2 linked regions of the Canis lupus familiaris genome follow. The protein of the gene in region 1 purifies or fractionates together with the protein of each later gene. This does not show direct contact. Links are inferred from orthologs where the notes say so. Each region holds a gene or a part of one and is shown in the gene's direction. Other genes may lie near its edges.

Region 1 (7,121 bases):
GGCCACCTGGACTCACTGGCCTCCCCCCTACAGGCACACGCCCAAGATTTTGGCAAGGCCCATCAGCTGTAAACACCCCCCTCCCCCCCAATTACTCAGGAGTCACCTCTTCACTTCCCCTGAGGCTACCTGGTCCAGGCTGTTCCTTGTTCTCCTGCCCTGCCCCCCTCCCTTTTGCTCAGCAGCCAGGGGGTTTTCTAAAGCACAAACCTGACCCTACTGGTCTGTGCTCAGAATCTCTGATGGTTCCTGTTACCCTTGTGAGAAGAGCCCAGGCCCCTACCTAATGAGCGAGACCTTGAGGGAATGGGACTTGACCCCCACAGCCTGATGCATCTTCCCTGCTTTAACTTGCCATGATCTCTTACCTTCTGGCTATAGACCCTGCTTTTCCCTTCCCTGGGACATGCCCTCAGATACACAACTTATATCTTACCCTGTGCATCCTCCACATTGCGGTTCCAATGTCTCTTCCTCCAGGAAGTCCTCCCTGGCCACCTGATCTGGGGCCTCCAGTTCCCTGGGCTCTCACACCCCTGATCTGGGACCTCCAGTTCCTAGCTTTCACACCCACTATGGGTCATCACTGCCTGGAGACAGGTTATTCACTGGACCAAGCCTTGTGAAGACAGAGCCAGCGCTGTCTTGCTCACTGGTTTGTGCTCCAGGAATGTTTGCTGAGCATATGTTTGTGCGCTCCTGACTTTCACAGACCCAGACACATCAGAAGTGGAGACCTTGATGGGGCTTGCATTAACACACTGGGAGGGAAACTGACATGCAATAAATCCACAAATTTTTCCTGAGCCCCTCCCCTGCACATTGCCCTAAGCTGGGGGGCTTCTGTTTATTTTTATTTTTTTGTTTTGGTTTATTATTTTTTGTGTATTTTTTTATTGGAGTTCTATTTGCCAACATATAGTATAACACAGCAGAGACCAAGAAAGCCCCAGGCCTGCCCTCCAGGGGCTCGGAGCCAAGCAGAAGCCCTGAGTGCTGAGGATTTCTTACCTATCCTAGCTATTCACCTAATACAGTTGTGAGGCCCAACGTTTGCAAGGGACAAGAGGACATCAGGTGGGCTCCTGGTCGTGTTGCAGGAGCCACAATTCGATGTTCCTTATCATGAGCCAAACTCATGTCTCAGGGTTGTTTGTAGTTTGCTTCATCTATTAAATATATGTAACTCAATGTCCCCTATCACCTTACAGGCCAGCTTTTTCCCATCCTGTCCAATTCTTCTCTAGTGGTCACCCCAGCCTTCTTGTTCCCTGAACATGCCATATGTGTTCCTACCCCGGGGCCTTTGCACTTGCTGTTCCCTGTGCCTTGCACACTTCCCTGGATAGCCACATAGATCTTTCATCATTTCAACTCTGCTCCGTTTCATCTCAGGCCTTCCCTGAACATCCTCACCCAAACAGTGCCCTCCAAACCCAATCCATATATCCTGCTTTATTCTGTAATGCCACCATCACCACCAGACATAAATATTTGTGTCTCTTTTTCCACCTGTCTCCTCTGCCTTGGATTTCAGTTCCATGTGATGGCAGGGGCTTTTGTTGGGTTCCCTGCTTTTGGAACAGGGCCCAGCACATGCAAGAGCTATATGCAAATGTCAACTATTTTTAGTATCTTAATCCTCACAACTATCATAAGACCCATTTTACAGATGAGGAAACCGAGGCTCAGAGAGATGAAGTCAGTTGCCTGAGGTCAGACGGCTGGTAAGTAGGAGACCTACGATTTGAACCCAGACAGCCTGATTCTGGACCCTCCCATCATAACTTCTCTTGCAATACTCTTGTTGAATGCAGACTAGAGCCTGCAGGCCAAATCCTGCTTTTTCTAGTATTTGTGTGATTTTTACATGTTTAAGTGGTTGAAAAAAAGAATCTCAAGAGAAAGATTTCACTTCACATGAAAATTATACAAAATCCAGATTTCAATGTCCACAAAATAATGTTTTATTGGAACACGGCCATGCTCTGTTTCCATGCTGCCTTTGGCCGCTTTTTGTGGAAAAAGTTTGCTTGATATTTCACTCTACGGCAGTAGCTCTCCAGCTTAAGCTTGAGCTATCCGCATCACCTGAACGGCCGAGGGCCACACTTTGAGACTGCTGCTGCACATGATTCTGCTTCCTACAAGCAGGCACCAGGCCTGATATGGTGAGTGCTGTGACCTGATGCCCAGTGCGGACCCTGGCACACAGCAGGTGCTCAATGAGTGTATGTTGAATGAATCAATACATCCGTGTGGGTCATGGAGAAAAGAGGTGGAATTTTTACAGCAGCAGACACAGGATGCCAAACCTTGGCTCTGTGGTCTGAGAGTGCTGGGCATCCAAGTTAGGACCTGATGGTCAATTAGTCATTCTCAGGGATAGTGAAGGCCTAGGAATGTGACCTCACCAGAGGGCTGCCCTGCTTTGCACCTCAATCTCCTCCTCTCTGCAATAATCCTAATTTGACACAGGTGCAAACTGGGAGGCATCTGTGAGGTGCCCTGGTGAGAGCCCTTTGCTCAGGGGCCCTGCCTACCGCTCAGCATGTATACTGGGGGCTCCATCGTTAACGCTGGCACACTGAGTTATGGAACCCTCGAGCTGAAAGTCTTCCGGGCTATTAGGAAATTACGTGGGGCAGTGGGGCAGGAATAAAACATCCATTAACTCAAACATTGGACATCTACCGTGCTCCAAGGGCTGTTCCAGGCTCTAGGGTTAGAGCAAGGAACAAAACAGACAAATCCTAAAACTGGTATTCTAGCCATAAACTTTTTAAGTATCTTCAATCCCAATTTACAGTTAAAGAAACTGAAGCATAGGGAGAGACTAGTTTTCCTAAAGATCATTAGTACCAATGGCAGCGGAGCCCTGCCAACCTCCTGATCCGCAGCTTCCCTTACAGCCAGAGAACAGCAGGTTCAGCTACCGCTGGTGGACCTGGGGGGGCGGGCCTCAATTTCCAGACTTGCTCCACGGGTAGGACATGAGTGGCCCTAAGCAAGCCTCAGTTGTCTCCGCCAGAGCAATGGGCAGCGGCGCGGGTCCAGCCCCTCGCGTGCGCCCGGCCTCCTCTTCCCGGCCGGCCCCACCCCCGCAACCACGTGACGCGTGGGGGTTTTCCCGTTCCCCTAGCGTGACGTCATGATGGGGTGCGGGCCAATGGGCGCGCAGGCCGGCGGCGCCGGGGAATTCCGCCGCCCCGCCCCCGCCCGCCGCCCGCCCGGCCCGGCCCGGCGCCCCCCGCAGCCCCGGGCGCCGCGCTTCCAGCCCGGCCTGCGGCCCCAGCCCCTGCGCCGCTCGTCCGACCGGCGATCGTCCTCGGGACCGTGCCTCCTGGCCGCCCGGCCTGCCGGCGTGTGTTTTGATCTGCGCCGGCCTCCGGGCCGTCCGTCCCCACTGGTCGGGCCATGCCGAGCCGCCGCGTCGCCAGACCGTCCGCTGCGCCGGAGCTGGGGGCCTTGGGTAAGCGGGACTCGGGTTCAGGAGAGGAGTCTGGGGAGGAACTGGAGATGCGGGGGCTCGGGGGGTCCCGGAGTAGTCTGCGGGTTCCTACAGGAGCCTAGGGGTTTGGGGGGGCGAGGCTGAGGGTCCCAGGGAAACTGTATTAGAGGGAAGGAAGGAGGCAGAGGATAGTGACGGGGTCCAGCCCAAGGTAAGAGGGAGGCGTCCCACTACAGAGTGAGAAGGGGGCGGGGCCTGACCCTGAGGCAAAGGGGGAGGCGGGGCCCGACTCCGAGAGGGAGGGGCGGGGCCTGGCTCCGAGGGGGCGGAGTGGGAGCCGCTCCTGCGGAGGTGTGGGCGTGGCCAGACTCGGAGTCGGAGCTGAGGGTCCTGGCTCACCGGGGGGGCGGGGCCTGACTGAGAGCGAGATGGGGGCGGAGCCTAACTCCAAGAAGGAAGCGAGGGGCGACTCCGAGTAAGCGGGAGGGGCCTGACTCTGGCAGGGAAAAGGGGGAGGGCTTGTTCCGAAAAAAGAAGGGCGGGGCCTGACTCTGAGAAGAAAGAGGGGCTGGGGCTTGCTTCAGGAGCCAGGTGGCAGGGTCTGGGGGAGAAGGAGACGGCCTGACGCCGAAAAAGTGAAGGGGTAGGGTCGACCCTGAGAGAAAGGACGGGCGCGGGCTTTCCTAAGTGAAGCTGGGAAGGGCTCCTCCAGACCCGACCCGGGGTGTGACGCAGGGTGGGGAGAATGAGTTGGGGAAGGGAAGCAAGGCCAGACCCTGCGGGCGTTCGGGGTGAGGGGGCCCGACCCGAAGGCGCGGGGTGCGGCCCTCCCGCGGCCTCTCCGGCCCCTCCTGAGACATGCCTCCCTCCCCGCAGGGTCCACGGACCTCTCCTCGCTCGCCGTTTCCAGGACCACGGGTGAGCAGCCCTCCACAGTTCCGGCCCACCCGCGCGCTAGGGTGGGGGGAGGGTCCTGTGGAGGCGGCTTTGGGCACGCCCCTGTGTGGGGTGTCGCCCAGGTCCGCCTCAGCTGTCCTCTAACCGCCTGTGTTGGTCCCCGCCGGTTGAGACGGGGGCCCAGGGGTCCCTACCTCCCGGGGGGTTAGGAGCTGGACAGGTAACACTAACCACGTAGCACCCTCTAAGAGGAGTCCTCTTGGGAGCTTGGCCACGGTAGTGCAGAGGGTAATAATGACATGCCGGTGCCACCACCCCCTCACTGTGTGAATGCCTGCACATCACTTCCTCTCTCGGGGCCTCAGTATTCCTCATCTGTACGATGGACATAGTATCAGTGTCTCCCTTTGCCAGAGGATTGAGAGGATTCAATACAGGCAGGCTTTCAAAGCAGTGTCTGGCACACAGTAAAGTCACAGTAAGTGTTAACTGTTGATAGCTGGTTTTATTATTATCATCACTATTATCAGACAGCCTGTAACAGTGGTTCTTAGACCTTTGTGTGCATCGGAGTCACCCAGGGAGCTTGTTAAAGTAGATTATTGAGGCCTCCCTTTAGAGTTTCTGATTCAGTAGGTCTAGGATCGGCCCAGAGAGTTCTCATTTTTAGCAAGTTCCCAAAAGATGCTGAGAACCACTAGTCTGGAAGGTCCCTCAGGCACTGCCGTCCAAAATTCAGTGCTGCCCAAGAAATTGCAGAATCATGGCTAAATGACAACATCCTCTCTCTCTTCTAAATCTGCTGGGATTTGGAGGGCAGGGACTGAGTCCTGTTACTGTGAAGACTCGGTAGCCCCGGTGGACTGGGGCTGGGCCTCTGTCTAGAGGTAGAGGCTGTGGTGGAGGAGGCTCTGTGGGTTCTCTAACAGGTCTGAGAGTTTGGACAATGGTGAAAGGTGGGGCATGGCGTTGGAGAGAGGTACTGCCCAAGCACTAGTTCTGGGCAGGAGCAAGGCTGAGGTTTTTTTCTGGCCCAAGATCTTTGGTTTCAGTTGAGAGTAATTTGTGATGTCATCTCTTCAATAAATATTTATTGAGTGCCCGTTCTGTACCTCGTCCTGTGCTGGGCAGTGCTGGGGACTCAGCCGTGACTGAGGCAGCCCTGACTGTGCCCTCACGGGTTCCCTACCTAGATGTGGAGGCAGGCACATATGCAGTAAATTAAATGTGGATTATAAAATGTGATAAAGGCTCTGTAGAAGTCTTGGGGTCATTGATACCTAACAACAGGGCAAGGATGGGAGAACTAATGCTGTGATAGGGCATTCATTCTGATGGACTCATTCCCTCTCCCTCATTCTGATGGGCTAGACATGTGTATAGATGTGTCCCCTATTCTGAGGTTCTCACAGTTTACAGGAGGAGACAGGTAAGAGTCACTTAACATAAAGTCTTGTCAAATTCTAATCAGTGCTGTGAAAATGATAAAACAAAGGCACGTAACCACAAGCGACTGGAGCTATCTTAGGGACCAGGAGGCTATTTTCGATAAAGTGGTCAGGGAAGACCTATCTAGTAGGTGACATTTGAGCAAGGACCTGAAGGAGGAGGAGGAAGCCATGCAAAGAACTGGAGGAAGAGCATTTCAGCAGAGAGCAGACTGTGCTAAGGCCCTGAGGCAGGAGAGACAGCTAGTTTTCTGTTCCCATGCAGCCCATCCTGGCTGTCTGTGGATGGTGGGAGTTTGGGGTGGGATGGAGTGTTATTTGTGTTGAGCCCTAAATAAGGAGAAGTTCCCAATGTTTGTTGGCTGAAAGAGGGTTTTTTTTCAAAGATTTATTTATTTATTTGAGAGTCAGAGAGTGCACAGAGGGAAGGGCAGAGGGAGAGGGAGAGGGAGAGAGAGAATCCTCTAGCAGACTCCCCACTGAGCATGGAGCAGATGTGGGCTCTATCCCAGGACCTCAAAATCATGATCTGAGCCAAAATCAAGAGTTGGCGACTCAACCAACTGAGCCACCCAGGTGCCCCCAAAAGGGGATTTTTTTTTTTAATTTTTATTTTTTTTTTTTTTATGATAGTCACAGAGAGAGAGAGAGGCGCAGAGACACAGGCAGAGGGAGAAGCAGGCTCCATGCACCGGGAGCCCGATGTGGGATTCGATCCCGGGTCTCCAGGATCGCGCCCTGGGCCAAAGGCAGGCGCCAAACCGCTGCGCCACCCAGGGATCCCCTAAAAGGGGATTTTTATATAATAATGCTATAGCTAAGCTTTATGGAAGGGCTAGGGTGGTCAGGCACAGTAGTAAGCAATTTATCTGTGTAATTCTGAACCTTCATGTTCACTCCTGAGTAAAGAGCTCCGACCTCATTTTATAGGGAAGGACTCAGAGAGGTTGAGAGACTTGCCCAAGGCTACACAGTCAGTGAGTGACAGGGAGGATTCTAACCAACATCTGTGTGATGCTACACTCCATTCTCTAAAAGCAGGTCTGCCAACCTCTTCCTTTTATAGACAGGGGAACTGATGTCTAGAGAGGGAAAGTGGGTTGGTTACCCAAGTCCATAAAATAAGATCACCCAACACTTTATCCAAGAGCAGCAGCTGCATTTATGCAATGCCTACTATTGTGGCAGTTCTAGGTGCTTCCCACATATTCACTCATTTAATTTTCACAGCAGCCCAATGAGGCATGATTCCTGTGTCCATTCTACAGATGGAGAAACCAAGGCACAAAGGGGTTAAGTGATGGGCTCAGGTATCTCCAGTTAGC
Region 2 (7,110 bases), on another chromosome or scaffold:
CCAACTCCTTTGGCCAGCCCCAGAGCTTCCAAGAGATAAAAGACCCCTGACAAACTCCCCCCCGCCACCCACCCACCCACACACTTCTCCATTCACACAGAACCCTTCCTTGGAAACTCAGAGGAAAGAGGGGTGAAGGGAGGGGGGAGGAAGGAGCCAGCTGACCAGCTGGTCACCATGGCAACCGGGCCTGTTTCCTGAAGATGAGCCTAACTGGGGTGGGTGGAATCTGGGAGTGGGGGTACTACAAATGGAACCAAAAGATAACAGCGGAGAGAGGAGGACTGGAGGGGCTAAGGAGCAAAGTCAAGGCCCTGGCCACGGTGAGGCCTGAGTCAGAGTCCCCGTGTCATCTTTCCAAATGGTCCCTCTCCTCATTCTGAAGTGTCCCCAGGAAGGCTTCCAGTAGGACTGCAGGCAAGGTGCTGGAAGCGGTGAGTGACTCAATGCTGACCTCATGTGGCCAGAAAAGGGGCTGCTACACACCTGTTAGAGTTCAGAGCCAGAGGTAGGACTGAATTGGGATAGCTTTTTCCCCAAATTCAGCCTCTGTCTGCATCTGTCCAAGTTCTTGTGTCTTTGCAGTGGTTTCAGATGCCCCAACTCCTTAGGCCTTCATAAAAGAAATGAAGTTTCAGTGAACGTGTTTTTCAAAGTTTTGGATTAGGGACAGGAGAACTTGGCTCTTTCTATTTGATCTTGGGCAATTCAACTCACCTCTCTGGATTTCAGCTTCCAGACTTTAAGATGGGGATGTGATAGTGCCAGATGAAAGCCCAAGTAGTCTGGTCTGGAGTTTCTGACTGTATTTTTGCTCTAGCCTTTGAGGATGAGAGAGGAACATGTCAGGGGAGGAAGTTGCAAATGTCTGAAATCACACTGACCTCAAGGGAAGGAGATGCCTCAATTTCCTTGGGCTTTCCCCTCATGGTTTTTCACCGCCTCATGCTCAACATATCCTCTCCACTCTGATTCTCCACGGGGCTGGAGAGCAGTGGGGCATCTCCTCCTGTGTACCCACCACTCTTCTCTCTTCATTCACCCCACCAAGCACACACACTACGTACCTCTCTTCTCCCCCCAGTCCTCTTCCCTTTCCCTCACCCCACTGGGTAGTCGACCCCAAGGTGTGCCCCACACCACCCTGTTCTCACTCCTGTCTTAGCACAAGCACTCTGTATTGTAATTGACAGGGAGATTTTTGAAGGCTGGGACCAGGGGACATTTTTAAGTGTGGGTAGGGTTAGGGGTTGTTGGTTACTACTGTTACTATGATACTCAGTTTTGCTTCCAGCAGAAAGACCAATGTCAGGCATATAGGAAACTCCCCATACATGTTTGTCAAATGAATGAATAGATGGATGAATAAATGAGGTTGCATAGAAGAAGGTAGTAGGAAAGCTGGTTAGTAGCTGTCTACACTCACTCCAGTTTTCTTCCTTTCCAGAGATGATTGGGGATGATTCTTCTAAGGTCATAGCTGCCCCTGGGTTGATGGCACTTGGAGTAGGGGATGAGTCATGGGGCATGGGGTTGGAGCTCACCATGGGGGAGGAGCTTGCCTATAACCTCCGTAGGCCCTTTAGGCCCAAGGAAAGGAGGGACAGGGAAAGAGGAAAGATGTGCTGGCATTGTGGCTGTGGCTGTGGTGAGGACCTCAGCAGAGCATGACCCAGGATGTCTGGGGCCTCCCCATCCTGGCCCCACCATGAGGAACTAAACTTCCCTGATCACTAGGGGTAACCAGATGTTGTAACCGCCTGGAACCAGTGTTTCATCCTCGTGAAGAATGACCACCCTGCTTTTTTTAGATAATAAAAACATGACCACTCTGCTTTTTTTTTTTTTTTTTTTTTAAGACAAGAGCTTGCCTGAGAAAACTCACTTTCAAAAAACAAAACCAAGGGACGCCTGGGTGGCCCAACGGTCGGGCACCTGTCTTGGGCTCAGGTCGTGATCCTGGGATCTGAGATGGAGTCCCGCATCAGTCTCCCTACGAGGAGCCTGCTTCTCTCTCTGCCTATGTCTCTGCCTCTCTCTCTCTCTCTCTTTCATGAATGAATAAATAAATCTTAAAAAAAAATCCTCACACCCAGTTCTATGTGATTTAGGAAGTTGACCCAGGAGACCCTCTATCCAGGACCCAAAGGGAGAACTGCCCGTTTACGGGTAATAGGTATCCCCTTTCCCTACCCAAACTCCTGGGCACGGATAGATGAGAAAACCACAGAAATTGAGAAAAATGGGTAGGCGATAGGAAGCAGAGCTTTGCCATCCCATCACCTACATGCTCTCCCTGCGTGGTATGCAGCCTGTGCAGACGATTAATAAATATTCCTTTAAAAACGAATGAATGAGTGAATGAATGGGAAAAAATGAATGAAGAAATGAAGAAGGGAAGGAAAGAAAGAAAATGCATGGACTTGAAGAAGGAAGAAGGGGGAAATATGAATGAATAGATGGATGGCGGGTGGTCGGACAAATGGATGGATGGATGAACGGGTAAATTAACGCACGAGTGACTCAGGACCGGGTAACCCCGGAGTGGAAGCCAACGCGGGGGGCGGGGCAAGGGGGATTCCGGGGGGCGGGGCCTCGGCCCGGAAGCGCCTGCCGGGGGCGGGGCCGGGGCGGGGCCGGGGCGGGGCGAGGGAGCGGGTCCGACTGGGCAGTGCGGCGGCCGGAGTAGCCGCTGCCGTGGAAGCCGCCGGCGCTGCGAGCCTCGCCCGCGCCGCCCGCCGACCCCTCGGGCCCCCGCAGTCCGGGCAGGAGGCCACCCCGGGCCGGGCGCCAGCTCTGCGAGGCGGACCTGCAACCCGGAAAGGCGGCGCGGCGGAGCCCGGAGCCCGGAGCCCGGAGCCGGATCCCGCTCGGCCCCAGCCCCCGCGGGCCAGCACCCCTGGCATGTCGGAGGCGCGGAAGGGGCCGGACGAGACAGACGAGAGCCAGTATGATTCGGGCATCGAGTCCCTGCGCTCTCTGCGCTCCCTGCCCGAGCCCACCCCGGCCCCAGCCTCCAGGCCCTCGGATGGCGGCGGCCCCCAGCCCTGGACCCATCCTCCGGGAACAGCCGAGGGGCCACGCGAGAAGGAGGACACGGACGCGGAGCGGACCGACTCCACCTACGGCTCCTCGTCGCTCACCGAGCCCCTGCCCTTGCTGGGGGGCCCGGAGGCCGAGGACCCGGCCCCGCGCTCGCCGCTCCCGGCCGCGGGGGCGCTGAGCCCTCAGCAGCTGGAAGCGCTCACCTACATCTCCGAGGATGGAGACACGTGAGTATGGGGTCTGTCGAGGCTGTGCGGGGACCCCTTCCGATCAGTGCTCAGCCCTGGCCTGCGGGATCCTCAGCAGGCCGGGGGCCCACTCTGTGCGGATCCCTCACGACACGGTCGCTGGAAGGGGCAGTCCCCACTCTCTCCTCCAAACTCCAGGCTTCACTCCCAGCCCGCTCTTGAGCTCTGGCCAGCCCCGGACCGGAGGCCCTGGCATCATCTCTCTGCCCTCCCTTTGGGAGCTGGGCACAGCTGACAGGGCCCTTACCAGACACCTGGAACCCCAGCCAGCAGCTTGGAAACCTCCCAGTAACCCGCCCCTTGGAAGGGAAAAGTCCCCTGACCAGTCCAGGTTTTTTTTGTTTTTTTTTTCTTGCTGGGGGAGAAGGCATCTTTGTTTGCTCAATATCTGGGATTCCCAGCCCCTGACCTCAGAATACCCTGTGTCAAGAAACAAAAGGTGCCAGTTACAGGTTGCCAGTGCAGGAGTGGGGGGGGGGGGGGGCGGTCAGGAAGCTTAGGATGAGGGTGCTGCCAGGGTGCAGAGCTGAGGCTAGCTGTGAGGAAGAGGGGGTGAGCCAGGCTGGGGCACTCTTGCCCCAGCAGACAGACAGACAGGCGGCTGGCTGCCCAGCTTACTTCCTTCTCTGCTCTGAAAGGGGAAGTGAGGGCTAGAGTCAGCTTTACCGACACCCTCCACCTCCTGAATCCCCCAAGTCCCCCTCACTGTCCTGTCTGATTCCCTTATTTTACCCTCCCTCTCTTGGGCCCAGATGAAGTTTGGTGGGGATTGGGCCTGGCGGCTGTGGGGGTGGGGGCGGGGACAGGCAATTTAAGTAAGAGAAGCACTTTGTGTAGAAGGGACTGGCCATTTGAAGATTTGCCCCTTAGGGAGAAGAAACAGTGTCAGGTGAGGAGGTGGCTGGGATTTGGGGGTGAGAAACAGAGTGGGGCGGGCTGGGGTCCCAGATCAGGGATCCTGGAACGAATAGGGGTGGGGAGAGTAGAGGAGGCTGGAGTTATCTGTCCTGACCTGCTTTTTGGAGATGGGAAGGTCCTAATCCTGGGTAGCCTTTGACAAAGATAGCCAGTGGACCCAGTGGGTGGGACAGGAATGACCCCAGGCCTTTTTGTAACCTGCCCAGATCACCAGCCCTCAGGCACAGAATCAAGATGGGGCGGGGGGGCGGGGGGGGGGGGCGCTCCATGTGGATACCTATGACTGACCTTTGGCCTAGGGATTGGAGACTTCTGACCCTGCTGTCCTTTGTCAGCCTCTCAGCTGCAGCCTTTACCTAGTTAGAGACAGGTGTGTTTAGAGGAGGCAGGGGGAGGTGGAGAAGAGGTGGCAGGACTTCCCAGGAGGTCCCAAGAGAGGAGGGGGCACTCTCTTCCCTCAGAGGTGTCTGGCCTTCTGGAAGTGGAAAGAGGAAGTGGGAGGAGGGGAGACAGGGAGAGAGGGAGGTGGCTGCAGGAATGTGACCTACAGAACAGGCCCTGGCCGAGGGGATTTCCAGAGCGGTTCCTCCGCCCTCCCTCCCTCCGCCACTCTCTCCTGGGCCTCTCCTGCCACCAAGCCTTACCCTCCTCTGGCCTGAGCAGCCCCCTCCAGGGCCCAGAGAGGCCTTTACCCAAACTACCCCTTCAGGGCAGTAAATGCCCCAAGGCAGCTGTCCTGGCCTCCACCTTCTAGCTCTGGCTTTCATTTTCCCCACCTGATGTGGGGAAACCCCAGGACTGGAACTTCCCCTCCCAGCTGCCCCCTCCCACCCTAGCAAGAGGTGAAGGCTCTTTGGCCCCCAACAGACACACATTTTCTGCACACCACAGACCTCCCCTTGGAAGCATATGCAGAGCAGAGGGCCTCTGGTCAGGCCCCACCCAGTCCCTTCTGTGTGAAGAGTGGCCTTTCTGATTCCTCTGGGATGGGCAGCAGGACAGGATGCCTCGCTGTCTCCTTGCTCCACTTCCAAGAGCTTCTCTTTTCTCTCCCCTGGAATGTGTAACATTGAGTTGCTGGGAGTCGGGGTGATCCCACGCCTCCCCTCTCAGTCCTCCTTGTCGAGGTTGGCGGAGGTGGGGAGCTCAGCCCCGGAAACCACCCCTGTGCTACCCCGGCAGCTTTCAGTTTGGCTTTGAGCTGCAGCCAGCCTGGCAGGGCCCTGGGGCCAGAGGGAGAGAGGGGTGTGGGCGGGCCGAACAGGAAGGACCGAGTCCCATCAGCACCTGGCCCACGCTGCCACTGGGCTAAGGCCCTCCTGAACGCCAGAGATGGGAACTTGGAGCTCCCAGCCCCCGGATCCTGGCTTCCCTCACCAACCCTCACTTCCTGGCTCAGACTCTCACTTCCTACACCTAGCCCACGGCTGGCTTCTGAGACATTGATGTGTTCTTCCTTCTAATCCCAGAAGCCTAGCTCACTATCTAGGGCCTGAGCCCTAACACTAACCCCTGTTCTTGCTGTGTCCCCCTCCCAGGCTGGTCCACCTGGCAGTGATTCACGAGGCCCCAGCTGTGCTGCTCTGTTGCCTGGCTCTGCTGCCCCAGGAGGTCCTGGACATTCAGAACAACCTTTACCAGGTGGGTGGGTAGATGGAGAGAGTGGGCTATGCCCAGATACCTGTACCTGCCGTTCCCAGCAGCCACACAAGCATACATAGGCTTCACACTCAGGAAACCATATGCCAGACATGGGGATAGAAGCCAATGATGCAGACATGAGTAAGACACAGTCTCTGCCCACAAGGTGCTTGAGCCTGGGCTAGGGGACTCATGTCAAACTAATTACATAGCATGGTGACAAAAGTGGTGATAGAGACACATACCAGCTGCTGTGGGATCTGGTGTCTGTGGGGAACAGCCAGGGAAGGCCTAATACAGGAGGTGGCATCTTCCTGGAGCCTTAAAAAAGGAGTATGCGGGATCCCTGGGTGGCACAGCGGTTTAGCACCTGCCTTTGGCCCGGGGTGCAATCCTGGAGACCCGGGATCGAATCCCACGTCGGGCTCCCAGTACATGGAGCCTGCTTCTCCCTCTGCCTGTGTCTCTGCTTCTCTCTCTCTCTCTCTGTGTGACTATCATAAATAAATAAAAATTAAAAAAAAAAAAAAAAGTATGCCAGGTGGAGGCTGCCTGGTACCTCTGTCTTTCCTCCCTCCAACCCTTCCTTGTCACCTGGCCCCTGGGGATAACAGAGATCTTCCCAGATGGTGAGAGGGTAGGCCCCGCCCCCATCTGTCCTTACTCCAGGGGCTAAGGAGATCTGCAAGAGAGCAGGGACCCACTTGGCTCAGCCTGCCTCCAGAACTAGGGGTCCCAAGAGCTCGGTGGGTGGTGACAGAGGGAAGGGTTTGGTAGCATTTCTGTGGAAGCCCAGGGCCATAGCCTTTATAAGCTGCCCTCAGGGAAGGTACCAGCAGCTGGTAATTCCTGGGTCTGCCCTAACATGTCCCCAGATGTAGGAGTGTGCTACAATAGCCCTGTGATCCTTTGTGCCTACAGACAGCACTCCATCTAGCTGTACATCTGGACCAGCCTGGTGCGGTTCAGGCCCTAGTGCTAAAGGGGGCCAGTCGGGTGCTACAGGATCGACATGGTGACACAGCACTGCATGTGGCCTGTCAGCGCCAGCACCTGGCCTGTGCCCGCTGCCTGCTGGAGGGGCGGCCAGAGCCAGGCCGAGGACCACCTCACTCCCTGGACCTCCAGCTGCAAAACTGGCAAGGTATGGGCAGCCTGCCTCAGGGTTCGTGGGATGAGAAGCGGCAGGAGATGGACTCCACTCTCAGGAAAAGGAGGCTCACAGCGTGTCCATCAGTGTACCTCCTGTTCTAAGCAC

The links. Proteins that work in one complex are often made in the same cells at the same time.
Region 2: the proteins of RELB (region 1) and NFKBIE purify together in Homo sapiens (affinity purification with mass spectrometry; 3 studies listed by BioGRID and IntAct, counting the BioPlex papers as one, with this or other methods). This does not show direct contact. The link is inferred for Canis lupus familiaris from reciprocal best matches to the Homo sapiens genes RELB and NFKBIE.

The regions. Positions count from the first base shown.
Region 1 is NC_049222.1:111,171,848-111,178,968, reverse strand, and holds the start of RELB (transcription factor RelB), read left to right. Parts: upstream 1-3,278; 5' UTR 3,279-3,417; coding exon 3,418-3,472; intron 3,473-4,327; coding exon 4,328-4,369; intron 4,370-7,121.
Region 2 is NC_049233.1:12,862,811-12,869,920, reverse strand, and holds the start of NFKBIE (NF-kappa-B inhibitor epsilon), read left to right. Parts: upstream 1-2,773; 5' UTR 2,774-2,904; coding exon 2,905-3,272; exon of another isoform or gene 3,273-3,561; intron 3,562-5,749; coding exon 5,750-5,852; intron 5,853-6,773; coding exon 6,774-6,996; intron 6,997-7,110. UniProt on the Homo sapiens protein: Sequesters NF-kappa-B transcription factor complexes in the cytoplasm, thereby inhibiting their activity. Sequestered complexes include NFKB1-RELA (p50-p65) and NFKB1-REL (p50-c-Rel) complexes.